Oryctolagus cuniculus: one gene and its partners. The protein of the gene in region 7 interacts with the protein of the main gene of each other region in a pairwise test. Links are inferred from orthologs where the notes say so. Each region holds a gene or a part of one and is shown on either strand. Other genes may lie near its edges.

Region 1 (4,281 bases), on a different chromosome or scaffold from region 7:
TGAGACAGGAGTGTGCTCAGCCGTGCAGCCACCCTGGCATGGCCGCCAGTCTCAGGCGTGGGAGCACCTGAGGTCAGAGGTCGAGAGCGCCCCACCCCGGCCCAACTCCAAGGCCACGCCCTGAGACGGCCCAGGTCTCCACGCCCTCGTGCGTGGTGGGGAGGGCCCCAGATGAGAGTCCTGGCTGCAGGCACTGGGCAGCCCCTCGGCCCCCTACTCAGGAACACGGGGCCCCCAGAACAAGGCGGCCGGGGCTGCCCAGGGCACCACCTGGACTCCCACAGGGGCGGGGTCTCTGCGGGCCAGTGCAGGGCCTTCTTCGGATGACCCCTGAAGGGCCGGAGGGGTTCACGCGGGGACCCCTGCTCAGACACCCGTGCCCTCTCCCCGGCCCTGTGGTGTTGTTGGGGGCGTCCACGGGGAGCCTGGGACCATGCCCCACCCCCGGAAGCAGCCCCCACTCTGCAGGGTCCCGCGAGGTGGGGAGGGAGGCTGCAGACGAGCGGGGGTGGGCTGGGGCAGAAGCTGACCAGAGCAGACATGGGGGCGGGACTCCTTTATTGAGCACTGCGAGGAGGCGGGGGGACCCCCGGAGCCCCCTCCCCAGCCCCGGCGTGGGCGGCCTAGGACTCGGACTCGAACATCTTCTTGCGGCCCTCCATGCCCGACTTCTCCTCGATGTTCTTCCTCCAGTCGCCCACGTCGCGCAGGTCCCGCTCCTGGGGGCAGGTGGGCAGGCAGGCAGGTGCGGTGGGAGAGGGCTGGACCAGCGCCCGCCCCGCCCCGCCCGCCCGCCCGCGCGGCGCTCACCTTCTCCGTGTCCTCCTTCTTCACCTGCTTCAGGTTGGCCCGCAGGTCCATGCACACCTTGTGCTTGGAGCCCAGCAGGGCCTTGAGCATGGCGTCAGCCGACATGCGCACACGCCGCAGCGGGGGCCTCTTGAACTTGCCCCGCAGGTCGAACAGCTTCTGGTTCATGTCCTCCAGCTGCGGGCGGGCGTGGGCGGGCGTGGGTGGGCGCAGGTGGGCGGCTGCGCCCCGCCCGGCCCGGCCCCCGCGCCCCTCCCGCCCCCTCCCCGGCCCTCACCTCCTTGCTGCTCTTCTGCACCTTGATCTCCATGTCATACTTCTCCTCCTCGGCCGCGTCGATCTTGGCGTGCAGCTGCTTGCACAGCTCCTGGGGGCGGGCGGCGCGCGTGGGTGGGCGGCCGGCCCCCGCGGGAGCCCCGCCCATCGGGCCGCCGCGCGGGGGTCCCTACCTGCACCTCGGCCATGGAGCCAGGGAGGCTCAGGGGCGGGCAGTGCTCCGCCAGGTAGTTCTGCTTCTCGGCCTCGCGGCGGCCCTCCTCCTTCTCCAGCTCGGTGGCCGCGATCTGCAGCATCACGCTCTGCAGGGGCGCGGGGAGGGGGGCGGTGAGCCTGCGTCCTGCGCAGAGACCCCCCGCGGGCCGCCCCACCCCCTCCCAGGACCCCCTCCTACCTTCAGGTGCTGCCGCCGGGCCGTGATGGCCCTGTTGCGTTTCTGCAGGGGAGAACGGGGGTCAGGGCCGGGCCCGGGGGACCCCACACCCTTCCCGCCCGGGGCCCTGCTCCAGGGGCACGGGGCTGCATGGTGGGTGCCATTGGGCTGGATGGACCGGGCTGGGGGAGGGGGAGGCCGGGTGCAGAGGTCAGAAAGAAGAAGTGAGGAGGCCCCGTCTGCACTTCCCTCGCCCCACGAGGCCCCCAGCAGCCACTTCCTCTTTCATCAGCATCTGGGGGTGGGGGGGCTGGGGCGGGGTGTGTGTGTGCTGGGCGTCTCCTCTGGGCCTCCAGGGCCCTGCAGCCCTGACCCCTGAGCGGCCCCGAGGGTGACAGGGGCGCGGAGCCCCCACACTTCTGGTCCCTAAGGTACTCACCTCTTCACTGCGCAGGAGGAAGAGGGGAGAAGAGAGAGAGGTTAGGTTGCGGCTGGGGGAGCGGTGGCAGGTATGACAGGGCAGGTGGGGAGGGGGCGGTGGCTGAGGAGGGCAGGGGAGTTGCTGGGGGGGCCGGGACCCCCGCAGGGCGAGGGGAAGGCGGGGTGGGGGGGACCCCGGGCTGGGCACCACTTACTCTCCCATGCTGAGGTTTGGAGCTCAGAGCCTGTGGGGACAGAAAGAGGGGTCAGGGCCTGGCGCCGCCCGACACCAGCCTGGCAGGGCTGGGGGGCACAGGCCTCATACTCCCACTCCCAAGGGGTGATGTCTCAGGACTCCCGCCCACCCTGGGGCGAGGACTGGCTCCCAGAATGCCCTGGGCAGGGCCTGAGGCGCTGCAGCTGTCCCGCAGGAGGGACGGGCCAGCGCAGGTGGCTGCCCGGACTCCTGGTTATTTTTAACTCTGCTCCTTTGGCATGCGGGAGGACCCTCCCCGGTGTGGCTCCGGGCGCAGGCCCTGGGGTCGTGGGACCCATCCATTGCCCTCCCGGGGGTCCTGAGCGTGCAGGCCTGGTCCCCTGCCGCCGGTGCAGGCCCCCGGCCCGGTCCGCGCCATCTCCCCCGGCAGCTGCCCCTGCTCCGCTCTCCTGGCTCTTCGGCAGCCCCAGCCCCAGGCCCCCTGCCCCGGGAAGCCCTGCGGGCCGCTCACGGGGCAGCACCCTGTCCACGGGCCTCGAAGCCGGGCCCAGCCTCACCTAACGTCGGGGACCAGGACTGGGAGCGAGGTCGTGCTGGCCGTGGCAAGTTGGGATGGTGGGCCCCCGCGAGGCTATAAATGCCCTCCCCCGGGCTGGGCCCCTGCTCAGAAAGGAGACAGCGTCTTCCCTAGACCAATGGGGGCACACGGAGCCCAGAGACCTCCCCACGGCCCAGCCCAGGCCGCCGCCGGCCGCGTGCTGCTGGCCCATCCAAGAAGTCTTGGGTATGCGTGTGGGGGGAGCCACTCGGGTTGTTCTATTTAGGGCTCGGTGACGGGGTCGAGATGCCTTCTTGATCCTTGCAAGGAGCCCGAGAGGACAGTGGCCCGGGACCGCGGCGGCCGGGGACCGCAGCGGCCGGCTCTGCCCGTGGGCCTCGGGGCTCCCCGCGAAGCCTTGGCCCAGCGGTGTGAAACTCTGCTCCTAATGGCCCCCCAGCCTCCCGCAGCCAGGCCCACCCCCCACCGGCCCCTGCCGTGTCCTGGAGCAGGGCCAAGGCCCACGCTGGCCACATCCACCTTCTCCTGCAGGCTAAGGCCCGGACCTCCAAGCAGCCCCAGGCAGGGAGCCGCATGGGCCTGTGTCCCCGCCGCCGGGGAGCGGGTGCCCTGGAGATGCGCGCACGGTGGGGGGGGGGGGCTCCCAGCCTGCGCCCGCCCAGCCCGCGGGCCCCTTCACGGGGGCAGAACGGCACCGCCGCCCGGGAACCTCTGTGTGACCCGAGGGGCTCCAGGCTGCCTGGCTGCCCGGGCAGGCCCCGCCCTGCTGGGGCCCCGTGCTTGGCCCCCGGGGCAGGATCAGCGGCACATTGACGAGGGAGGATTTGGGGGCGCTGAACTTTTCCAGATGCTCGGGGATTAGGAGCACATCCGGGCTGGGGCTGGGCCCCCAAAGGCCCCTGAACGTTGCAAAGATGTCTGCTGCCCCCTGCTGCTCACGCGCGGGAGGCAGAGGGGACACCCCTCCCTCCGCGGCCGCCACCCAGGCCCCCTCCCCTCCCCACCTCCTCCCCGTCCTTGAGGAGGGCAGAGCGGTGTGTCCCCCACCACCGTGTCCCCACAGGGCAGAAGCAGGACACAAAGGAGAGAGAGAAGGCATTTATTTGGGGGGTCCCCACGCAGGGCGGAGCGGCCGAGCGCCCACAGCGCTCAGAAGTGAGGCACGGGCAGGCGCAGGCGAGGCTGTAGGCCCAGGGCCCGGTCCACCTCCCGGGCGGGCTGCAGCCGGTGCCACTGGGCCACGGGCCGCCGGGCGTGGGCCAGCATGTCGGCCCAGTGCTGCAGCGGCTGGCCAGAGGCCCGGGCACTCAGCAGCACCTTGCCCACCGGCTCCATCCGGGCCTGCGGGCCCCGGGCCCAGACGGCCAGCACCAGGTCTACACTCTGGGCGGAGCAGGGCAGCGGGTCCATGGAGGAGCGAGAGAGACAGAGAAAGGAGACAGCGAGCGAGCCTGGTCAGCCGGGCCGTGCGAGGCTGCAGCCCGCCCTGCCCCTGCCATGCGGCCCACCTGGATCTGGCTGAGCGGCACGGGGAAGGAGAAGGCCTCGTTGAAATAGGGCGCGGCCGTGCCGCTCCGGGCCGAGGTCTTCCTCCTCTTCCACTTCCTCCGGTTCAGGACGAGCTGG
Region 2 (2,356 bases), on a different chromosome or scaffold from region 7:
TTCAGAGGCACCCTGGTGAGCAACAGTAGATTCACAGTGCTAGCTGCCTTCCTTCCTGTGTGTATTTCATCTCTTATTTTCCCTCCTAAAAACGAACAGTCCTTCTTTAAAAACATTTACTTTTACTTATTTGAAAGGTAGAGACACACAGAGATCTTTCATCTGCTAGCTCACTCCCCAAATACCTGCAAGAGCCAGAGCCAGGCTGAAGCCAGGAGCCCAGAACTCAATATGGATCTCTCCTGTGGGTGGCAGGCATTCTGATATATGCTGTGGAATGTCCCAACCACAGCACCAAGCCACCACCCCAACATTCCTATCTTCTACTTAAAAGCGGGTACCACCAAAATGCTTCTGGAGCAGCTGGGACTCAAACTGTCGTTCAGATGTGGATGCCGCCAGTGTCACTTAACCTGCTGTGCCACAATACTGGCTCCAAGCCATGATTCTGAGGTTGGTCTTGCTATTTTGGATAAAATCTCAATAAAAACAGGCAGTGGTTTTATAGTTACAGCTTATTTTCCATTTGGCACTAATTTCTTAATACACTTTTAAGTCTTCACTCTTTTTTTTCAAGCATATAAAAACACAACTAGTCATAGTTAGGAATTTCTTTATTCCTTATCAAAACAACCTACAGTAAATGTAGATTATACACTTATTTAATACATATAAGTTATATATTCTGGATATATCTTTTAAGACTGCCACATCTGTATCAGTCCTAGTGACAATGGATAAAATTTTCTGTTTATTCAAAGAACAAGGCAACTAAAACAGATAAAAGCAGGCAGGAGTCTAGGGCAGCACAGTGGAGAATTCTCTACACACAGACATATTTAAACTTCTTCCCAGTACAAAAACACATGTTGCTGTAGAGATTACTTTATGAATAGTGAGATCTTGCAGTACAATCCAGGTACCAGCAAGGACTTTAAATAAATTTCAATGGCTAGATTTTCAGGTCCAAATTAGATATTTAATGTTTTCTTTATTGCAAATATGATGTCTTTGACCTGAGGTATAGAGTTGTCTTCTAGAATCTTTGCATAAGGCATAGGGACGTCAGCACCAGTGACACGAACAGCAGGTGCATCCAGGAAATTGAATGCAGGACCTAGGAGAGAAGGAAGACGCAACTGAGGTGGGCAGGAAAAAGCAGCCGAGCACTCGCACGCTGGCAAAAATGGCTGCGCAGGAAGAAAAAGCATAAGGTAAAATAATACTTGTTTTGGGAAAGACTTTCTGTTTTTTTTTTGTTTTGTTTTTTTTTTTTTTTTTGACAGAGTGGATAGTGAGAGAGACAGAGAGAAAGGTCTTCCTTTTGCCGTTGGTTCACCCTCCAATGGCCGCCACGGCTGGCGCGCTGCAGCCGGCGCATCGCACTGATCTGATGGCAGGAGCCAGGTGCTTCTCCTGGTCTCCCATGGGGTGCAGGGCCCAAGCACTTGAGCCATCCTCCACTGCACTCCCTGGCCACAGCAGAGAGCTGGCCTGGAAGAGGGGCAACCGGGACAGAATCCGGCGCCCCGACCGGGACTAGAACCCGGTGTGCCGGCGCCGCTAGGTGGAGGATTAGCCTATTGAGCCGCGGCGCCGGCCTGGTTTTGTTTTTTAAAATATTAACACCATACAGTAAGTTCAAAGTTCAAGGCATTTGGCTACCCTAGCTTTTTTTCTCTATTCAACACGTGTTCAGGTACACACTGTTTGTTACAGTTTGACCATATTCTAGATCCACTTTCTTTGCAATACCTTCCATGATCCTGGCACAAATTTCAGCTCCTACTCCAAACTGTGGCCAGCCTCCTTCCACTGTTACCAGATGATTTGTCTTCATGACACTGGCTTCTATGGTTTCAATGTCCATTGGTCTGATAGTACGCAGATTTATGACCTAAAGAGGAAATACAATAAATAAGCTTTATAGAGCCACTGCATCACAAATACAAGGGTACTTCAAAAGGTTTGTAGAAGAGGAATTAAAAGATGAGTTTATTTTGGTGTGGAAAAATGCTAAATCCAGGCATACAAGGGATCTTTAAAAAATAGTGCTGGGGGGCCGGCGCAGTGGCTCACTTGGTTAATCCTCCACCTGCAACGCCAGCATCCCATATGAGCACCGGGTTCTAGTCCTGGTTGCTCCTCTTCCAGTCCAGCTCTTTGCTGTGGCCTGGGAGGGCAGTGGAGGATGGCTCAAGTGTTTGGGCCCCTGCACCCACGTGGAAGACCAGGAAGAAGCACCTGGCTCCTGGCTTCGGAAGCTGGGAGCTTCTTTTGAGTTTCACACATGGGAACAGGGGCCCAAGGACTTGGGCCATCCTCCACTGCCTTTTCCAGACACTTTCTGATCCAG
Region 3 (4,133 bases), on a different chromosome or scaffold from region 7:
GAGCAAGGGGTTAGGCAAATGATAGACTTCTCCCAAGGGGACTTTCAACACTGTGCTCCTACCTAGAGGTTCCTTTCAAACAGTGTGAATGGGATGGCCCAGATCCCATTTGAAGAAAATCTCAAGTAGGAACCTCAGAGAGCCTAAATGTGCTTTTATTATATCTATCCTGCATATGCATAGCAGGCTGAACTGAGTACTCCAACAGCAAATGACTGTTAAAGAAAGATCAGTGGGGCCAGCGCTGTACATAGCAGTTAAAGCCACCGCTTCAAGTGCTGGCATCCCATATGGGTGCCGGTTTGTGTCCTGGCTTCTCCACTTCCAATCTAGTTCTCTGCTATGGCCTGAGAAAGCAGTGGAAGATGGCCCAAGCCCTTGGGCCCCTTGGGCTCCTGCACCCATGTGGGAGACCCAGAGGAGGCTCCTGGTTTCGGATCTGCCCAGCTCTGGCAACTGCAGCCATTTGGGGAGCAAACTAGCAGATGGAAGACCTCTCTCTGTCTCTGCCTCTCTGTAATTCTGCCTTTCAAATAAATAAATAAATCTTTTAAATAAATAAATAAATAAATAAATAAAGGAAGATCTGCATGTTCACTTGTTCTTAAACCTGCCAGAGTTTAAGAGGAAAGAAAGAAATAAAGTAAAGCAGACAAGAATTACTGGACAAGTCTTCCCCACATCACCCCTGGCTGCGTAGAAAGCACCGAGTTTGGTTAATTTTGTCTCTGATCCTGCCAAGATCCAATCTCACAGAGAAAGACCAAGCAATCCAGGAACTTTAAAAGAGCGGTTCTGTTGTGAAGACTCCTTATCAGACATAGTGCCTTAAACCCTCCCATTCCCCAGTACACCCACAGGTCCCTCTGGCTCAGACCTGGATTGGCTCCCAGTGGCCATCAGAGCATGTTCTCTAGGTTCTGTCTCTCTTGCACTCTGAATTCCTATCCGCCACTTGCTGCCTGCTTCCTCTCTCCCTCTTAGTCTTCAGTTTCTCCCGGAAGGTGTTTTTGGATCTCAGACTCCAGGGCAAAGAGAAAGGGAGTCCCTGGACAGTCTGAACCCTGGCTCAGACAGCTCTAGGGGAGAATCCCAAAGGCCTTTCCTCCTTTCCTGAGCCTCTGGGCAGGGAGGGCAGGATCCTGGTTCCAGGGTCTCAGTGCCCCCTGTGCCATTTGAGCTGCCTGCACTCATCATCTCTATTAATAAACACCCTCCCTCCCCCACTGCCAGTGCTGCCCCCACGCCTGCCCAGCTCATGTTCTCCGGTCACAGCAGCTCAGTCCTCCAAAGCTGCTGGACCCCAGGGAGAGCTGACCACCGCCTGAGCAACTGGTAAGTCTCCAGGTCTCCAGCTACAGGGTCTGGAGCCCACTCTGTTGACTTCCGTTTCTTTATGCAATTATGATTCTTGATCTGGGGGGTGTGGCCTCCCTTCTTTATTACCCTTGGCTCCCAGCTGTCCAGGTCTGGGGAGCCACAGAGTGTTGGAAGGAGAACGGCCAAGGAGGTTGGGGGAAATGGAGATGTTGCGGGAGGCACTAGAGGAATGGGAAGCAGATATGAGGCCCCACTACGCCAGCAGAGTTGCAGATGTGTTTGTGAGACAGGATTCAGAAGAAGACCACATTTCACCAAGTGCCAATTTTTAGTTAGATAAGTTGGAGTCTATCTTATCTCAACTTGTTCCTCTCCATTGCCAGATGCTGTTACCATGTTCCTGTCTCCCCTCAGTTCCCACTGCCATGATATTGCTGAATTGACATGTGTCAGGGTTCAAATGTCTTCTGGCTTCTCCCTCCACTGCAGCTCTGGGGTCCGGGGTGGGGGTGGGGGGTTGTGACTGAAGGGACAAGCTGCATAGCCATGACCTCCCAGGCCATGTTCCAGCTGGCCCAGTGGTAGAACAACAACCTCTCCTTCTTATGGAGAATGTTTTTGGCTGAATCTCATCAACCCTGGCAGAACATTTCTCTAACCTCCAGGGGCTTGGGGTAAGAATGAGGAGAGACCAGAGCCTGGATTCATCGTCCTAGTCTGTTATCCCATTGCAAATGAAAACTTCAAGTCATGCCAAGCCAATGAATCCTGGGTGCATTGCCCTGCCTGCTTTCCTGTTGTTTTTTAAATATTCACACCCTTAGTTTTGTTCCTATTCCCTGCATCAGCTCTATGGTAAACAGCACACTGGAGGTTGGTAGAAAATAAAGACAAGGGGTGCATCTATACTTCCTGCCCTCCTTCCCAAGAAAAGAGAAACCCCAAAGCAGTGGATTTTCACCTTTGGGGCATAGATGACTTCTTTGAAAATCTGATGAAATTTTGTCCCCTGAAGCCCTTAGCCTCAGGTAAAGAAGTACTTCCCGGGGCTGGTGCTGTGGTGTAGTAGGTTAAGCCTCCACCTGTAGTGCCATCATCCCGTATGGGAACCCATTCGTGTCCTGGCTGCTCCTCTTCTGATTCAGCTCTCTGCTTATGACTTGGAAAAGCAATAGAAGATAACCCAGGTGCTTGGGCCCCTGCACTAGTATGAGAGACCTGGAGGAAGCTCCTGGCTCCTGGCTTCAGATCAGCTCAACTCTGGCCATTGGGGCCATTTGGAGACTGAACCAGTGGATGGAAGACCTCTCTTTCCATCTTTCTTCTGTCCGTCTGTAATTCTACCTCTAAAATAAGTAAATAAAATCTAAAAAAAAAAAAAAAAAGTACTGCCATACTGCAGACACTTGGTTTTGTCAGTCTCCGTCCATCCTCCAACTATTTTTCCCTTCCACCCAGATCGAGTCCACCTCCACAATGCCGCTCTCAGGAACCCCTGCCCCTAACAAGAAGAGGAAATCCAGCAAGCTGATCATGGAACTCACTGGAGGTAGGGGACATTTGCATGTACCCAGTGTGGGACTTCTTATTTAGAGTATCTTTGCCCCAAGGGTCCCAGAAATATAAAGTTATATAGGTTTGAGGGTGAACAGACAGGAGGAACTCCAGTTGGGATGGGAGAAGGAAAATTCTGTATTGACAGCTGCCTACTCTACCAAGGTCTGGCCCCTGGACTTTTCCCCATGCCCTAGTTTCTCCAATGGTCTCTTTCTAGGATGCTCCTTTACCTCTTTACACTGCACCCCAAACCCATGCCCCTTTGACCTCAAACACCCTTTCACTCTAGTATCCCCACTCTCTTCAGTCTCATGCATGCTCTCCAATTCTGAACCCAGGAAGTCAAAATGTCCCATAAACTAGAGAGTTTGGTCTGGCATCACAGAGAGCAGCTGCTCCCCTAAATGATCTCTGCAGGACAAACACACTCAGTTGTGGATAAAGTCTGCCTTCTGAGGTCAGAAAACCCCACCTTACTCTTTCCCTTGCTTCTTCCTCCCTACCTCTCTGAAAGGTGGACAAGAGAGCTCAGGCCTGAATCTGGGTAAGAAGATCAGTGTCCCACGGGATGTAATGTTGGAGGAGCTGTCGCTGCTCACCAACCGGGGCTCCAAGATGTTCAAACTGCGGCAGATGCGAGTGGAGAAATTCATCTATGAGAACCATCCTGATGTTTTCTCTGACAGCTCAATGGTGCGTTTGGAACTTCACCACTCTTTCAAAGCCTAATGCCTTTTCTGACAGTTTCTTGGCAGGCTCTGAACCTCCAAAATACCATCAACCTCCGCTCCCTGAGAATTTATAAGCTCATTAACCCCCCAGATATATTAAGCCCCCAACAGCTACAGGGTGTTACAGCCCATCTCTGAAACTGAAGTCTCCATCTGAAAGTCAGTGAAGGGGTGGGGAGTACCACACCCTCAGGGAGAAAATTCCTTCCCAGTATGGGTAAGTGTTAAAGATAGGGTTGCCAGATGAAACACAAAACACCCAGCCTTGTATTTTGAAGTAAAAATAAACAATGAATAATTTTTTAGTAAAATATGCCTTGTGCAAATTTTGGACATAAAAATCAAATTTAAATTTAAGATTAAAATACAGGCTGCCCAGTTAAATTTGAGCTTCAAATTTATGCAAACAGTACTTTTTTACATATGTATGTCCCATGCAATATTTAGGGCATATTTATACTAAAAACAAATACACAGTATTTGTTGTGTATCTGAAATTCAAATTTAAGTGATGTCCTGCAATTT
Region 4 (3,652 bases), on a different chromosome or scaffold from region 7:
TAATTTTTGTAGAACAGATATCTCTATTCCTTAATTCTACTGATTTCCAAGAAATTGGGAGAATTTTCAGTAGAGACCTTAGGACATGGAAAATATAAAGGTTATATTTTGTGTTCCTGCTTTTTGTCCTTTTTAGGTATAGTTTAAGAGCACTGTATATGTATAGTTGTACACATCTACATGTACATATATATAGTCACTGAACATATATTTACACACATATGTATACACATAGCTCTATCAAAATCTATATGATATCAGGAAAAGAAAATGAAATCCTCCATGTTTGGCTCAAGTTGGGTTTGTAAAGCTATCTCAGTTATGTCTTAAGTATATAGAATTTTTTAAAAGAGGCCGGCGCCGTGGCTCAATAGGCTAATCCTCCACCTTGCGGCGCCGGCACACCGGGTTCTAGTCCCGGTCAGGGCGCCGGATTCTGTCCCGGTTGCCCCTCTTCCAGGCCAGCTCTCTGCTATGGCCAGGGAGTGCAGTGGAGGATGGCCCAGGTGCTTGGGCCCTGCACCCCATGGGAGACCAGGAAAAGCACCTGGATCCTGGCTCCTGCCATCGGATCAGCGCGGTGCGCCGGCTGCAGCGGCGGCCATTGGAGGGTGAACCAACGGCAAAGGAAGACCTTTCTCTCTGTCTCTCTCTCTCACTGTCCACTCTGCCTGTCAAAAAAAAAAAAAAAAAAAAAAAAAAGAATTTTTTAAAAGATTTATTTATTTATTTAAAAGTCAGAGTTACACAGAGAGAGGAGAAGCAGAGAGAGAGAGAGAGAGAGAGAAAGAAAGAGAGCGATCTTCCATCTGATGGTTCACTCCCCAAATGGCCACAATGGCCAGAGCTGCGCCGATCCAAAGCCAGGAGCCAGGAGCTTCTTCAGTGTCTCCCACGTGGGTGCAGGGGCCCAAGGACTTGGGCCATCTTCTACTGCTTTCCCAGGCCATAGCAGAGAGCTGGACTGGAAGTGGAGCAGCTGGGTCTCGAACCAGCGCCCATATGGAATGCTGGAGCTTCAGGCCAGGGCGTTAACCTGCTGTGCCACAGCACCGGCCCCAGTGTATAGAATTTTAAAAGGTGTTTTTTCCCTTCTATACTTAACATTTGGGCTGTACATTTCCAAGAACTGATTGCTCTCCTGTGATTGCTGGATGTATTTAAAGGCCTTGCTGCAGCTTCCTGTGAAATTTAAGGAACAGCTTTTTGGCCTGTAGACAATGCTTTTCTCTTCAAATTTCCATCTCAGGCGAGGCTACTTGTAGAGGTTTTGAGAATGACCTGAGGCTGAAATGATTCTGGATATACAGTATATCTCCCCCTAGGACCTTGGAGAATTGTTTTTCAGTGCTTGTATTGTGCAGGTAATCCCCAGGATTCCTGTTTCTAGCAAGGATATAAACTCAGCTCAAATGGCTTAACATTTAAAATGGCTCAAAACAAAACAAACTAAAACCATTATTTGTACTTCCAACATAATAGCACCTTCTTTGGGTGGCAGGTGGATAAGGGGTGGGGGTGAAGAGCAGCTAAGGCAAGAAGAGACATAGAGTTTACTTTTTTACACCAGAATATCCTGTTGTGCTCTGTAGCATCAGACATCGATGAGTCGTCGGTGATGCAGCTGGCCGAGATGGGCTTCCCTCTAGAAGCGTGTCGGAAGGCTGTGTACTTCACTGGAAATATGGGAGCCGAGGTGGCCTTCAACTGGATCATTGTTCACATGGAAGAGCCGGGTAGGTGGGGACAATGGAATGCTTTGGGGTCTGAGGTGACCTCAAGGATTTAAGCCTTGGCCCTTTCATGTCTCTTATGGAAGTGTCACCAGAAAATGACTTTTCAGCTCAAATTGTGCTGTAGTAGCAAAGTTACAATCTCTGTCTTTTTTTTTTTTTATTGAGATATAATTAATCTTTCAAGTATATTTTCCAGTGAATTAAAGACCATTAGAAATACGTGGGATATATTGCCAGTTAAGAGATGATGAGGATCTAAAATAGAAATGTGTGTGTGTATGGAGAAATGGAGATGGTTTAGTTAGCTTTTTCTTTTTTTTTTTTTTTTTTTTTAAGATTTGATTTATTTATTTGAGAGGTAGAGTTATGGACGGAGAGAGGGAGAGACAGAGAGAAAGATCTTCCATCCGCTGGTTCACTCCCCAAATGGCCACAATGACTGGAGCTGGGCCGATCTGAAGCTGGGAGCCAGGAGCTTCTTTGGGGTCTCCCATGTCGGTGCAGGGGCCCAAGGACTTGGGCCATCTTCTACTGCTTTCCCAGGCCATAAGCAGAGAGCTGGATCAGAAGAGGAGCAGCCGGGGCGTGAACTGGCAACCATATGGGATGCTGGCGCCACAGACAGAAGGCTTAGCCTACTATGCTATAGGGCCAACCCTGTTAGCTTTTTCTTTTGTTCACTTCATTGAAAAATATCTCATTTACAGTACCATACAAGTCAGCTATATTTTTAAGGGTATATATCAGTGGTTTTAGCAAATTCACTGCATTGTGCAACCATCATCACTGTCTAGTTTAACATTTTTGTCCACCCAGATGAAATCCTGTACCCATCAGCAGTCAATCCGCAATGTCCCGCTCTCCATAGCCCCTGACAACTACTAATTTCCTAATTGAATTTGTGGATTTGCCTATTTTAGACATCTCATGTAAATGGAATTATACAACATAAGATTTTTTATGTCTGGTTTCTGTCACTTAGGGTCATGCTTTCAAGGCTCATGTGTGTTATGGCATAAATCAGTTCTCCATTCCTTTTCATGGCTGAATAATATTCCATTGTGTGGATGTACTATATTTTATTCATCCTTTCATCAGTTGATGGACATTTGGGATGTTTTTGCTTTTATGAATAATGCTGCTATAAATATTTCCATACAAACTTTTGTGTGGACTTATATTTTCATTTCTCTTGTGTTGAATTGTTATACCCTATGTTAACTCCATGTTTAACTTCCAGAGGAACTGCCAAACTGTTTTGTTTTAGTTTTTCCAAAGATTTACTTGAAAGGCAGAATGACAGAGAGGGAGACAGAGAGAAAGAGAGAGAGAGAGAGACAGAGAAATCTTCCATTCTTTGGTTCACTCCCCTCATGGTCTGGGCCAGGCTGAATCCAGGAGCCAGGAACTGTATATGGTCCCCCATATAGTTGGCATGGGCCCAAGTCATGGGGGCATCCTGCACTGGCTTTCCAAGCATATTAGCTGGATTGGAAGTGGAGCAGCCAGGACTTGAACCAGCACTCTGAGATGGGATGCCAGCATCAGTCAGCAGCTTAACTCACTGCACCACAGTGTTGACCTCCTGCCAAACTGTTTTTACAGAGTCAGTGAGCCATGTTGCATTCTGGCCAGTAGTGAATGAGAGTTTCAACTTTTCCCCTTCCTCACTGACTCTTATTATCATCTTTTTTATTTATCCTTTCCAGTGGGTGTGAAGTGATATCTCATGGGGCCTTGATTTGCGTTTTTCCAATGCCTAATGATGTTGAATGTCTTTTCATATGTTTATTGACCATTTGTGTATCTTCCTTAGAAAAACATCCATTTAGATTCTTTGCCCATTTTTAATGAGGTTATTTATCTTTTTATGGTTGAGTTCCAAGAATTCTATTTTTTTTTTTTTTAACAGGCAG
Region 5 (4,440 bases), on a different chromosome or scaffold from region 7:
GAGGGTAGTGGAGGATGGCCCAAGTGCTTGGACCCCTGCACCCACATGGGAGACCAGGAAGTAGCACCTGGCTCCTGGCTTCAGATTGGCACAGTGCCAGCCGTAGCAGCCATTTGGGGTGTGAACCAACGGAAGGAGGACCTTTCTCTCTGTCGCTCTCTCTGTGTCTATAACTCTGCCTGTCAAATAAATTAAAAAAAAAAAAAAAAAAAAAGTGCCTCTACAGCCAGCAGGTGCAGACACTCTGCCGTAAGCAGGTGTGCATGCCCATGTGCGGGTTTGCTCCCATGCAGGTGTGCAGCTCCCTGTGTTTCCCAAAGTCCACCTGCTTTCACATAGCACAGCCCTGGCCTTAGTGCAAAGTGGGGCTCCTGTGCTCCAGGGACCTCGTGCAGGGACTCACAGAGAGGCTCCTCCGAGGGCAAAGCAGAGACTGGAGTAGTCAGGAGCCTAAGTTTGCTGACCTCCCCTCAGGAGGGACAACAGGGAGGCCTGAGCCCAGGGAAGACACAGACCTGGAGCGCCTCACCTTGAAAGCCAGATGCTCCACGAAGTAGCCTGCCCCATTGTTCTTCTCAGTCTCGTACCGGCTGCCAACATCAATCCACACGCCCACCTGGACAAGAAGCCACCAACAAAGGTGACAAACCACCCCGGCCCCCAGCCATCCGCCACCCTGAGTGACTGAGCATAGGCCCCGGGCAGGGAGAGCTGTCCTGCCCAGAGCCCTGTGCCTGGAGGTAAGCAGTGCCCATGGCACAGGGCCCCGGACAGTGACACTGCCCCATTTCCCAGGTGGAGATCAACAACACCCTGGGATGTTTCTAACTGCTCACGTTTACCTGGTCCCACCCCCGCAACAAACTGTCCAGCTGATTCTGAGTTTTCAGAGTATACCATCTGCAAACAGCAGTAACTATTCCCTCTCTTCTATATAGCATATCCTACCTTCGCTCCAGTGACGGCACTGTATGTGTTACTAAGCACAGCAGCCTTCCAACAACACTGAAAAACTTCCTGATCAGACCTGGACACCCATCACGCCCAAATGTCTCCTTGGCACCCAATGAGACAATCTTAACTTTCTTAAGTCTGCTGGTATGCTGGGACACACACCAGACACCCCACCAGGCCACAGCGCTCTCATCATCTCATTAATGCTTTGCCCATGGCTGACTTAATTTTTTCACTGTACTTTGCTAAGAGATGTTGCTGTCCACGCCGCGTGTCATAAAGTCACAGATGGACATGTGTTTCACATGCAAGATGCATTTACAATCCAGAGGACCCTTTCGGTATAGTCACCAGCATTTCTCTGGAGTTGGCGGGGCACGGTGGTGCTCCTTACCAAACAGGGCATCAGAGCCCGTGAGAGCCGGCACTGCCTAGAGCCTTCCTCACAGGGCCTGGGTCGGCTCACACAGGCGCCCCACGACGAGGAAGCGGCCCCCACCTTCTCCTTACATCCCAGGACACAGTCCGTTCCCGGAAAACCGACAGAATCCGCCAGTGAAAGCATTAGGTCCCGGAGCTGGGGCAGGGGCACGAAGGAGGGGAGAGGGCAGGCTTCCTGGCTGGGGCTCGTCCCACTTAGTAGTCACACGGCTGGTCAAGACTTCTATGCTTCGCCCGGCGCCGCGGCTCACTAGGCTAATCCTCCGCCTTGCGGCGCCGGCACACCGGGTTCTAGTCCTGGTCGGGGCACCGGATTCTGTCCCGGTTGCCCCTCTTCCAGGCCAGCTCTCTGCTGTGGCCCGGGAGTGCAGTGGAGGGCCCTGCACCCCATGGGAGACCAGGAGAAGCAGGAGAAGCGCTTGGCTCCTGCCATTGGATCAGCGCGGGATGCCGGCCACAGCGCGCCGGCCGTGGCGGCCATTGGAGGATGAACCAACAGCAAAAGGAAGACCTTTCTCTCTGTCTCTCTCTCTCACTGTCCACTCTGCCTGTCAAAAAAAAAAAAAAAAAAAAAAGACTTCTATGCTTCGATCAATTCCAAGGATTTGCTGTGCTTTGTTTTGGAAAATCGCGCACTCGTCTCACTGTCATCCTCAAGTGCATTTTCTCTGCAAGTGCGTGCCTGGCCTAGCCTGGCGATCAGGACGCGGGGCTGGGAAGCTGACAACCGCGGCCCCCTGCAAGGCACCCACGGCCTCTGAATTCCACCTTCCGCAGCCAAGATGGAGCCGCGACTTCTATCACTCGGCCGCTTAGCCATCAGCTGGCAAAGAACCTGGCCTCCTGCTCGGCAGACACCGTGTGCGGAACGGTGTCGACCACGGTGGGGTCGGGGAGGGGGACAGGCTACAGCGAGCGAGCCACGCCACAACCAGAGGGCGTGTGCCCAAGGTCACGCCTCGACCACGGTAGAGACGGCGGGTCCAACCCGGAGGCGCCCCCGCACTCACCGTGCAGGTCGGCTGCGAAGACTGCTCCGAGGCCACGCGCAGCCCGTTGTCCAGCAGGCTCACCTGCGTCTCGGGCACGCTCTGGAGGGCCTGCGCGAAGGTTGCGGTTCCGCGCAAGGCAGGCGCTCTCAACAGGGCTGGCTGCAAGAAGGGAGGGCAAAGAACGAGGGCTGGCTCGAGGGGCTCTCTCCAGCTCGACCCCACGGAAGCCCCAGCGAAGCAGGCACCCCTGCCCTCGGCCGTGACCTTCCCACCGCCCTGACCCCGCCTACTCCCCACCTCCACCTGCCACCGCTAACAGCCCATTCCCCGTCCGCGTCCCCAAGCCCAGAACTCCGCAACCCCGCGCTCTCGCCTCTGCCTCACCGAGCGGCCTGTGCGCAGCAGCGCTTGGGCCCCGGCGCCTGCCGCCCGGCAAACCACGGACGCCGCCATCTTCTAGTTCCCGTCAGTGAGCAGCTGCGCTGCGCATGCGCATAGTGGACGCCGGGGGCGCGTCCAAGGCGCAGGCGCAGCACCTCGGACTCGGCGCTCGGCCGCCCCCTGGTGGAAGCCGGCGCGGCGGGCGCCCTCCACCGGGAGCGGTCGCTGGGTCCGTCGGCTTGCGCGCAGGTTCCTGGGAAATTCCCTGGCTGCCCATCTTCCAGCGCAGAGGAGCCCGCGGTCCTGCCCATCGCTCGCGTTCACGCGTGGGAGGCAGAGCGTCCGGTGCTTCCCGCCACCTAGGGCGTCCCCTGCGGGCTTGGAGACCTTCCATCCGCTGGTTCACTCCACAAATGGCCCCAGCAGCCACGGCTGGGCCAGGCTGGAGCCGGGAGCCAGGAGCTTCTTCCAAGTCTCCCACGTGGGTGGCAAAGTCCCACGTACCTGAGCCGGCTTCTGCTGCCCTCCGGGGTGCCCATGAGCCGGAATGCCGGACTGAAAGCAGAGGCAGGACTTGGGCATTTCAGTGTGGGACAGCAGGGCAGCTTGACCCACTATGCCACAACACAAATACAGATTTGTATTTACAGAAAAGCTAACAGATCACACAGAGTTCTCCTATGCACACACACACACACACACACACAGCAGTTTCCCTTGTTATGAACATCTTACGTTACCACGCTACGTTTGTTATGATTAATGAGTCAACATTGGCACATTATTTTTATTTTTTAAGTTATTTATTTATTTGAAAGGGTTACAGAGAGAAGGAGAGGCAGAGAGAGAGAGAGAGAGAGAGAGATCTTCCATATTCTGGTTCATTCCCCCAAATGGCCAAGGCTGGGCCAAGCTAAAGCCAGGAGCCAAGAACTTCACTGGGGTCTCCCACATGGGTGGCAGGGACCCAAGCACTTGGGTCATCTGCTGCTTTTCCAAGGCAATTAGCTGGGAGCTGGATTGGAAGTGGAGCAGCTGGGACATGGACTGGTCCAATATTAGATGCTGGCATCATAGGCAGTGGCTTTACCCAGCTATATCACAATGCTGGCCCAAGGTGCATATTTTTAAAGTCTATAGTTTATTCGAGTTTTATCAGGTTTTTTTTTTTTTTTTGGACAGGCAGAGTGGACAGTGAGAGAGAGAGACAGAGAGAAAGGTCTTCCTTTGCTGTTGGTTCACCCTCTAATGGCCACCGCGGCCAGCGCGCTGCGGCCGGCGCACCGCGCTGATCTGATGGCAGGAGCCAGGTGCTTTTCCTGGTCTCCCATGGGGTGCAGGGCCCAAGCACTTGGGCCATCCTCCACTGCACTCCCTGGCCACAGCAGAGGGCTGGCCTGGAAGAGGGGCAACCGGGACAGAATCCGGTGCCCCGACCGGGACTAGAACCCGGTGTGCCGGCGCCGCTAGGCGGAGGATTAGCCTAGTGAGCCGTGGCGCCGGCCCCAGTTTTTTTTTTTTTTTTTTACAGGCAGAGTTAGACAGTAAGAGAGAGAGAGAGAGATAGAAAGGTCTTCCTTTTTCCGTTGGTTCACCCCCCCCCCAAGTGGCCGCTACTGCCGGCGTGTTGCAGCCAGCGCACTGCGCCCATCCGAAGCCAGGAGCCAGGTGC
Region 6 (3,652 bases), on a different chromosome or scaffold from region 7:
CCCCGGGTGCCCACGGCATCCAGGACCAAAGGCAGGAGCCAGGTCTCCTTCGTGGATGGGCCATCAGCTGTGCCTCCAGCTGTGTCAGCAGGGAGCCGGATCAGCAGCTGAACGAGGCGCTCCACTATGGGATGTAGGCGTCCCAAGTGGCGGCCTAACCTGCACCACGGCACTCACCCAAACGAGTGAGGGAGCGCGGGCAGACAGGCTGTGGGCGGGGGTTGGGCTTGTTTGCGTGGCCCTGGTCCCCAGGTGTGCTTCCCTGGTCCTCCGCGGGGAGGGAGGCACCTGCTGATTGCTGCTCCCCTGTCCCCTGGGGGATGGGCCCTGGCAGCTCTGCATCCCCTGCTCGCTGTGCCCACAGGTCCTGACTTCCTGGTGACGGAGGTGGAGAACGGTGGCTTCTTGGGCAGCAAGAAGGGCGTGAACCTCCCCGGGGCTGCGGTGGACCTGCCTGCCGTGTCCGAGAAGGACATCCAGGATCTGAAGTTCGGCGTGGAGCAGGACGTGGACATGGTGTTTGCCTCTTTCATCCGCAAGGCGGCTGACGTCCATGAGGTCAGGAAGATCCTGGGAGAGAAAGGGAAGAACATCAAGATCATCAGCAAAATTGAGAACCACGAGGGGGTGCGCAGGTGAGTCCCCGGACGCCAGCCGGCCAGCCCGCCTCGCGCCTGCTCGCTGGGCAGCACACTGCAGCGGAAGGCTGTGCAGGCGGTCTGACGTTGCTCCGTGGCCGGAGGACCCACACCAGAGAGCAGGCCCCTGCGCACAGGACGGGGGCTGGCACCGTTTCCTGACCGGCGGCCGTGGGGAAGCGCGGGGTCGGGGTCTTGGTCTTCCCTCAGAAGGGCTGGCCTGGCGATGAGCCACTCGCCCCCAGAGGGAAGCCTGGGGGTCTTCTTCAGGTCCCCAGGCTGCCCCAGCCCAGCCTGACCACCTCCGCCGTCTCAGTGTGGCCAGCTGGCCCCTCCTAGAGCAGTAGCTCGTGAGGGGCAGGGCGGCAGCAGCCCTGGGGCCCACAGCCTGGTGTTCTGGCCGTCTCCGGCTCTGCCTGGGCATCCTTCCTACCACATGAGCTCGGCTCTCTGCCTTTGCTGTCCTGATGGGCCGGGCTGCTGGCTCGGGCCGGTGATGCGCGTGCCCTCTTGCCTCCCTGGGGCATGCCTGTGGTGTCCTTGGCTAGATGAGGCCGCCGACCTTGGGGTGGGAAGCAGCCAGCAGCGTCGGTGCCCTTCCTGGGAAATGCTGACTGGAGCACTTGAGGGCCTCACAGGGTCAGGTGGAGAGGCGGGGCGGGGCATCCCAGAAGGTGTCGAGGCCCAGGAGCCGGGAGCCTGGCCACGTGCACGCATCTGTGCTGTGTCGGGCCCTCCGAGTTAGGGGTCGTGGCCGGGGCTTCCTGTCTGTCACCATACTTGGGACCCCTGTGGAATATGACTTCTGTTTCGTCCCTGCGCCCTCTGTCAGGTTTGATGAGATCCTGGAGGCCAGCGACGGGATCATGGTGGCTCGCGGTGATCTTGGCATTGAGATTCCTGCAGAGAAGGTCTTCCTTGCCCAGAAGATGATAATTGGGCGATGCAACCGTGCTGGGAAGCCTGTCATCTGTGCCACGCAGGCATGTGGCCCTCCCTGGGGACCCCGTCCCTGTGCACCCCCAGTCCAGCAGGGTCTCACCCGTGCTCTGCCCCTCCCAGATGCTGGAGAGCATGATCAAGAAGCCCCGCCCCACCCGCGCCGAGGGCAGTGACGTGGCCAACGCGGTCCTGGATGGAGCCGACTGCATCATGCTGTCTGGAGAGACGGCCAAGGGCGACTACCCGCTGGAGGCCGTCCGCATGCAGCACCTGGTGAGTGCCCAGGGCCCCGCTTCCGCGGAGCCTCACTGCACAAGTGAGGCACGTGCTGGGCGTGGGGCGCCCCTTCTGCCCCGCCTCCCAGCTCCTGTCCGGAGGAGTCACCCCAGCTTCCGAGTCCTTCGCTTGAGTCCTGGGGTACTGCTGCCCTCAGCAGATGCCTGTCGCCCTCCTCAGAGGTCCAGGGGCTTCAGCACCTTTGGCCTGATCCGGAAGACACCAGGGCTCCTGCCCCCAGCTGCTCTGTTTGGCTGCTGACTGGACTCCCTGCGGGGCCTGTGTGCACCCAGCAAGCTGCCTGTGAGCCGGCCTTGCATGGTGCCTGCAGCGGGACCGGCTTCTGTGCTGTGGGGGTGCAGCTGCCTCACTTAGTCCAGACGACCCAGAGGGGCTTGGGAAGGTGGCCAGCCCCGGTGGTCCTCACACTGGAGTCATCTGCAGGAGTCTGGGGCTGGGCCATAGCCGCCTGACCTCTTCTGTAGGTGGGAGCCCAGGGCTGGTTGTCAAGGCCACTCGGGCTTGGTGCACCTTGAGCCCCAGTCACCTGGAGAGTGGCTCCCTGTGGTCTCTGACGCTCCTCTGTCTGTGTGCTGTGGTAAGCTCAAGCGGGAGGGTGATGACCTTGTCTGAAGCACACGGACTACAGAAAGTGTCTCTGGGCGAAGTCTCCACTCTCTCAGGACCTCGTCTGTAAGCTGGATTAGATGAGATCTACGACTGCTGGCTTTAGTTCTGATAAGTCCCTGGTACACTGATGTAATCCTGACAGCTCCCAGCATAACCAGGGCTGTGGGACAAGAACTCCCAGGACACTGACCCAAAGCCGGCCTTCTCCCTGCGGTTCCCCTGCCCAGTAGGACTTAGAACGAGGCTCTGGGTCCCAGAGTTGGTTCTGGGTTCTGAATTCTGTGCCTCTTTCCCTTAACTGGTCTTTCCCATGGACAGACAGCTTAGGGCGTTGCAGGCTCTGGGCCAGGATGTGGCTGCCCTGCAGGTGGTGCAGGCCACTAGCCGGCAGCCGCCTCTCAGTGTCCGTGCTCGGACTGATGCACTGACCCGTAACTCAGGGCTAGGCCGCACCAGGTATGGCCCTGGCTCCTGTCCCTGTCCCTGTCCCTCGGGCTGCATGCACTCATCCCATCGTTAACTCGGCGGTGCTCCCCGCGTCTGCTTCCGCTCGGAGATGAAATGAATGGGGCGGTGCTGCTGACCCTTCCTCGCCCGTTGATGACTAAGCCACTGGGAACTGCATTGTAATCTCGAACGCTTCCACTCGCTTTCTGATTCTCAGTCTCACCTGAGCTGGTGGTCTGTGGTAACTCAGCTCTCTCGCGCCTGTTTTAATCAGTAGCTGTTAATCAAGCGTCCTGTGACGTCCCCGCATGCTCCCATGGGTGTCTCTTCACATGGCTGTTCAGGGCGGCCCTCGCGAGCTGGCCTGTGCTGCCAGCTCTCCTGCGTGGCCTTGGCTGCTGACGCCTGCCTCCCAGCCCTGTTGTCTGTTCCCACGGCGGGCACTGGGGAGAGCACCCTTGTGCCTCAAGCCAAGCAGCCTCCATGTGGCACAAACACCCAGACAGCCAAGTGAGGAGGGGCCTGCTCCTTCCCGAAATCTGTGTCACGAGGCAGCGTGGTCAGGTCCAGCCTGGGCAGGTCTCCATGCCACGGCGCTAGAGCCCGCGGCCATGCTGGCTGGACCTGGACCCTCTGCCTCTGCTTGACGACCCGATTAACCCGGGGTGCCTTCCTCCCTGATTAATCCCCCGTTCTGTCTTTCCGTGTCTTGTCTTCCC
Region 7 (4,338 bases):
TCTCAGTGTCAAGGGCTCACCTCCAACAGCCTGCACGACTGCCCACAGCCCAGCTTTCTGTCCTCCCCCCGCAGTTCTTAAAGAAGCCCCTGGCCAGACTTGTCTTCTTGCATCTTGCCGCCCAGGGCCTGCATGCTGGTAGGGGTCTCCCGGCCCTGGGAGAGGAGCCCTGGGGCCAGCAGTGGTGCACAGAGACAAGCTGTGACCCCTGACCCTTGGGTGCCCATCCTTCCCTCTGGCTTCCGTCCAGACCGTTGGAGCAAGTTGCTTGGCTCCTCTGGGTTTGGTTTCCTCCGACAGGAGGAAGAATTGCCGAAGCTCTCTGCGGGAACAGGAAGTGCCCAGCACAGAGCAGAGCCCCAGGAAAGCGCAGCGGCTGTGACGCTCCTCCCCTTGGAGAGGCCTCAGGGGCTCCGACACAGCGCGCTCAGCGGAGGTGCTCCCCGAGGGGGCTGGTATTCCCATGCAATACAGATTGGACTACTTTTATAGCGACCCACAGCCCGTGTGCATCCTGTAGCCACAATCTAGACCAGCGGTGAGGAATATGCACCAGGCACAGGCACTGAGCCCGGCATTCGGGACACCTGCTCCCCCTAGCTGAGTTCTCAGGTGGATCCTCGGCTCCAGCTCCTGACGCGGGCTCCTACGATGCAGACCCGGGAAGCTGTGCTGATGACTCAAGTAATTGGGCTCCTGCCACCCACGTAGGAGACCCAGATTAAGTTCTGGGCTCCCAGATTCAGCTCCAACTCAGCCCCCGCTGGGCATTTCACGCATGAACCAGCAGATGGGAATGTGTTCTCTCTCTCTCTCTCAAATAAATACATTATTTTTAAAACGAAAAAAGCACATTCACCATGGAGTCAGTCACACCTTCTCTCTTCTAGCTGTGTGGCCTTGGGAAAATCTCCGACCCTCTCTGAGCCTCCGTTTCCTTATAGGAAAATGGAGCTGCGAATGCCTCACAGAGTGACTGAGACAGGAAGTACTCCGGACAGTGCCTGAGCACAGCGTGTGCTCAGGGAGCACTTGACTGTGTCACATTGCCCATCGGTGTCCTAGCCCACAGTCACAGCCACGCTTCGGCCACTTAATGCATTAACAACGGGGCAGAGCGGCCATCACAGGCCCCAGGCCAGGGCTCTTCCTCCGCGGGCATGGTTGGCAGCACCTCTGGGCAGGCCACTGCCTGCTGCCACGTGCTTGGTGGAGGTTTTAGACCAAAAAGGCTGTGAGGTCAGCAGCTGGGAGTGGTGTCAGGATGTCCTCATTTGTACCGCTCTCCCGGCAGCGGCTGTGTCTCCAGCCGGCCCCACCACTCACAGATGCTGCCTCTCTTATTAACAGGGAGACTCAGCACCCGATGGGCCAGGCTCAGCCCCAGCTCGCCCCCTTCTCGGCTGGGAAGCCTTGAGTCACTGACTTGGCTTCTTGGGGATTACAGAAGTCCCTCCCGGTCTACAGGGTGGCTGCGAGGCAGGCAGAGCCTCCCCAGGGCTGGCAAGGGAGACAATGTAGCCATCGCTGCAGCTCCTGGCTATGTTGTCACTGGGCACTCTCCCTGCCCAGCCGGCCACCTCACAGGTCCCAGGCCTGTCCCTCCCTCTCGCTTCCCATCTCCCCCGGCAGTGCAGCCCGAGGGGTCCCTAGTGGCGGGTTCTGGGGGCAGGGTCTCGGGGCCGGCGAGCTGACCTGGAGCACTCTTGCTTGTAGATGTCAATGATGTTCTCCACCAGCAGGTTCCTCTGCAGCCCGTACACGCCGTGCCGGTCCATGACCACCTCGTGGCGGCAGGACGGGCAGCGGAAACGGCCGCCGGACATGGACACCGTGCCGCTCCGGTTGGTCCAGTAAGGATTTGCGGCCTGCGGTGGCCAAGGTAGAGGTGAGGCCAGTGCTCCCTCCTCAGCCCCTTCCCTCTTGAGTCTCTCCCGCTCTTGAGGTGAGAACAGACCCCTGCCCGGAGAGCCCCCGAGCAGTCAGCAGGCCTGGCTTCCGTCTCTGCCTGACCCTGGGCAGTGACTTTCTCTCTCAAAACCTCAGTTTGCCCACTCAAGAAATGGGTGCTATAATTAGGGCAAAGGTGAAGCAGTGAAGTGGCATTGGAGACGGTGCTCCTGGGGACCGCTGGGTCCTGCCTGCCTGCCAGACCTCCCTAGAGCCCCTCCGGCTCCCACCTTGAAGAGGACAGCCTCGGTGGGGGGGCCCTCTAGGCCTCGTGCCTGCCCGTCCCCCTCCTCCCACAGCTCCGGGCCCCCTGCCACTGTGGCGCTGGCCGGGCCCCAGGGGTCTGGTTTCTCTCCCCTCTCTGCCTGCCTCCCCCTTATCACTTGAGGCATTTGACTCTCAGTCCTCAGCGGGCCCAGGGCAGGCGGGGGAGCTGTGGACAGGCTGGGAGGGACACATGCGTCATGGAGAGGCAGCGGGGCCGCCAGAGCCACCGCCCCAGCCCCAGCCCAGGCCAGAGGCCTCCACAGGGGATCACTCGGAAGCGGAAAGAATCAGCTCGCATTGCAGGGCCTTCGGCTAAGAGCAAAGGGCCGCCGAGTTGCCGCCCAGGGACCCAGGAGCGGCCATGGCCAGCACCGACCTGGAAGATGTCGTTGGCACACTTGCGGCAGAGGTTGTGCTGACACGGCAGGATGACCACCGGCTTGGTGAACATCTCCAGGCAGATGGGACAGATCAGCTGCTTCTCCAGGTTCTCCATGGGGCTGCCATCCTGGATCAGGCCCGACTTGTAATCCATAACGTTGGGGTGGCTGCCTCCTCCACCTGCTGGCTCCGGAGACCTGTGCCTTTGTCACAAACACCCGCTCGGAATCTCTCGGCCTTCTTCTCCCCGCGTCTGAATTCTGTCCGGGACTGGGGCCCCTCTGGTATTTATAGCTGGGTCTCGGTCACATGAGCCCGGGAGGGGACCAGCTGAGCATTCCGATGCCAAGTGCGCGGTGGGGCTTGAGTTTCTTCCAAGCCTGGGAGACGCGGCCCTCTCAGATCACACGCAAGCCTGAGCAATCGCTGTTCCCCGGGCATAGGGGGTCGAAAACAAGAACAACCTGTTCGGAGGCAGCCTGGCGGGGGCATGGGTACCCAGAGTTCCCTCCAGAAACTGGGTCCCCCTAGCTAGGCTGCTGGGCCAGGGATGGGATCCAGGGAGGGGACCTCGGGGATTCAGGGGTTCATAGTCACTGTCCCCCTCATTAACGTAAATCAGTGCCTGCCACTCCCCTGGAGTCCTGGGCAGCTCTCAAGATAAGGGACAGGGCCGCCCCTCTCTGAGCCTCGCACCTGAGCCCAGCGTCTCATGTAGACAGGGGAGGCCCCACCCGGGGTGTCTGTCTCCCTCTCTTGGCCACTTATTCCCCTTAACGCTGAAAGGGCTCCCTTGAGTCCAGTCCCCTCATTCTATAGAGTTTGAAATGAGTCCCAGCAAAGAGAAGACTTTACACTTCCTAGCAGCAAAGCCAGGAACCTTATCCACACACCAGACATTCTTCAGTGCAGCAGGGACCAAGGTGACAGGCAGAGGAGCGGTCTCCTGCCCTGGGATGTGCACAGCCCAGGAAGGAGCAGAGGGGAGCAGCTCTTATGGAAACCCCGCCTGGACGCTCAGCACTGGCCGGAAGGCTCCCCTGGGTCTCGGCACACATTTTCAATTTTACTCCACTTTAAAAAAGCTTTACTTATTATTTTTAAAGATTTATTTCTTTTATTTGAAAGACAGAGTTACAGAGAGGCAGAGTCATAGAGAGAGGTCTTCCATCTGCTGGTTCACTCCCCAGTTGGCTGCAACAGCCGGAGCTGTGCCAATCTGAAGCCAGGAGCCAGGAGCTTCCTTCCGGTCTCCCACGTGGGTGCAGGGTCCCAAGGACTTGGGCCATCTTCTACTGCTTTCCCAGGTCATAGCAGTGAGCTGGATAGGAAGTGGAGCAGCCCGGTGCCATGGCTCACTTGGTTAATCCTCCGCCTGTGGCGCCGGCATCCCACATGGGCGCCGGGTTCTAGTCCTGGTTGCTCCTCTTCCAGTCCAGCTCTCTGCTGTGGCCCGGGAAGGCAGTGGAGGATGGCCCAAGTGCTTGGGCACCTGCACCCGCGTGGGAAACCAGGAAGAAGCACCTGGCTCCTGGCTTTGGATTGGGGCAGCTCTGGCTGTGGCAGCCATTTTGGGGGTGAACCAACGGAAGGAAGACCTTTCTCTCTGTCTCGCTCTCTCACTGTCTATCTGTCAAGTAAAAAAAAAGGAAGTGGAGCAGCCAGGACTTGAACCGGCACCCATATGGGATGCCGGCACTGCACTGCAGGTGGCGGCTTTACCTGCTACACCACAGCTCC

Evidence for each region.
Region 1: the proteins of TRIM63 (region 7) and TNNI2 interact in a two-hybrid assay, tested with the Homo sapiens proteins (2 studies listed by BioGRID and IntAct). The link is inferred for Oryctolagus cuniculus from reciprocal best matches to the Homo sapiens genes TRIM63 and TNNI2.
Region 2: the proteins of TRIM63 (region 7) and PDHB interact in a two-hybrid assay, tested with the Homo sapiens proteins (2 studies listed by BioGRID). The link is inferred for Oryctolagus cuniculus from reciprocal best matches to the Homo sapiens genes TRIM63 and PDHB.
Region 3: the proteins of TRIM63 (region 7) and MYOZ1 interact in a two-hybrid assay, tested with the Homo sapiens proteins (2 studies listed by BioGRID and IntAct). The link is inferred for Oryctolagus cuniculus from reciprocal best matches to the Homo sapiens genes TRIM63 and MYOZ1.
Region 4: the proteins of TRIM63 (region 7) and USP13 interact in a two-hybrid assay, tested with the Homo sapiens proteins (2 studies listed by BioGRID and IntAct). The link is inferred for Oryctolagus cuniculus from reciprocal best matches to the Homo sapiens genes TRIM63 and USP13.
Region 5: the proteins of TRIM63 (region 7) and UQCRC1 interact in a two-hybrid assay, tested with the Homo sapiens proteins (2 studies listed by BioGRID and IntAct). The link is inferred for Oryctolagus cuniculus from reciprocal best matches to the Homo sapiens genes TRIM63 and UQCRC1.
Region 6: the proteins of TRIM63 (region 7) and PKM interact in a two-hybrid assay, tested with the Homo sapiens proteins (3 studies listed by BioGRID and IntAct). The link is inferred for Oryctolagus cuniculus from reciprocal best matches to the Homo sapiens genes TRIM63 and PKM.

Annotation. Positions count from the first base shown.
Region 1 is NC_091432.1:1,635,670-1,639,950, forward strand, and holds TNNI2 (troponin I, fast skeletal muscle), read right to left. Parts: upstream 2,706-4,281; 5' UTR 2,654-2,705; exon of another isoform or gene 2,618-2,653; intron 2,125-2,617; 5' UTR 2,103-2,124; coding exon 2,095-2,102; exon of another isoform or gene 2,088-2,094; intron 1,906-2,087; coding exon 1,899-1,905; intron 1,696-1,898; exon of another isoform or gene 1,523-1,695; coding exon 1,481-1,522; intron 1,427-1,480; exon of another isoform or gene 1,389-1,426; coding exon 1,260-1,388; intron 1,178-1,259; coding exon 1,088-1,177; intron 988-1,087; coding exon 811-987; intron 720-810; coding exon 624-719; 3' UTR 543-623; downstream 1-542. Other genes in the region: SYT8 (synaptotagmin-8), read right to left, coding at 3,805-4,038, 4,164-4,281. UniProt on the Homo sapiens protein: Troponin I is the inhibitory subunit of troponin, the thin filament regulatory complex which confers calcium-sensitivity to striated muscle actomyosin ATPase activity.
Region 2 is NC_091441.1:91,561,176-91,563,531, reverse strand, and holds the end of PDHB (pyruvate dehydrogenase E1 component subunit beta, mitochondrial), read right to left. Parts: intron 1,898-2,356; coding exon 1,756-1,897; intron 1,118-1,755; coding exon 972-1,117; 3' UTR 597-971; downstream 1-596. UniProt on the Homo sapiens protein: The pyruvate dehydrogenase complex catalyzes the overall conversion of pyruvate to acetyl-CoA and CO(2), and thereby links the glycolytic pathway to the tricarboxylic cycle.
Region 3 is NC_091446.1:64,761,190-64,765,322, reverse strand, and holds the start of MYOZ1 (myozenin-1), read left to right. Parts: upstream 1-1,227; 5' UTR 1,228-1,335; intron 1,336-2,778; 5' UTR 2,779-2,796; coding exon 2,797-2,869; intron 2,870-3,391; coding exon 3,392-3,570; intron 3,571-4,133. UniProt on the Homo sapiens protein: Myozenins may serve as intracellular binding proteins involved in linking Z-disk proteins such as alpha-actinin, gamma-filamin, TCAP/telethonin, LDB3/ZASP and localizing calcineurin signaling to the sarcomere.
Region 4 is NC_091435.1:100,057,502-100,061,153, reverse strand, and holds part of USP13 (ubiquitin carboxyl-terminal hydrolase 13), read left to right. Parts: intron 1-1,592; coding exon 1,593-1,736; intron 1,737-3,652. UniProt on the Homo sapiens protein: Deubiquitinase that mediates deubiquitination of target proteins such as BECN1, MITF, SKP2 and USP10 and is involved in various processes such as autophagy, endoplasmic reticulum-associated degradation (ERAD), cell cycle progression or DNA damage response.
Region 5 is NC_091441.1:100,474,328-100,478,767, reverse strand, and holds the start of UQCRC1 (cytochrome b-c1 complex subunit 1, mitochondrial), read right to left. Parts: upstream 2,943-4,440; 5' UTR 2,841-2,942; coding exon 2,772-2,840; intron 2,547-2,771; coding exon 2,406-2,546; intron 617-2,405; coding exon 530-616; intron 1-529. UniProt on the Homo sapiens protein: Component of the ubiquinol-cytochrome c oxidoreductase, a multisubunit transmembrane complex that is part of the mitochondrial electron transport chain which drives oxidative phosphorylation.
Region 6 is NC_091443.1:110,893,296-110,896,947, forward strand, and holds part of PKM (pyruvate kinase PKM), read left to right. Parts: intron 1-364; coding exon 365-635; intron 636-1,470; coding exon 1,471-1,621; intron 1,622-1,700; coding exon 1,701-1,853; intron 1,854-3,652. UniProt on the Homo sapiens protein: Catalyzes the final rate-limiting step of glycolysis by mediating the transfer of a phosphoryl group from phosphoenolpyruvate (PEP) to ADP, generating ATP.
Region 7 is NC_091438.1:145,359,965-145,364,302, reverse strand, and holds the start of TRIM63 (E3 ubiquitin-protein ligase TRIM63), read right to left. Parts: upstream 2,902-4,338; 5' UTR 2,753-2,901; coding exon 2,594-2,752; intron 1,869-2,593; coding exon 1,696-1,868; intron 55-1,695; exon of another isoform or gene 1-54. UniProt on the Homo sapiens protein: E3 ubiquitin ligase. Mediates the ubiquitination and subsequent proteasomal degradation of CKM, GMEB1 and HIBADH.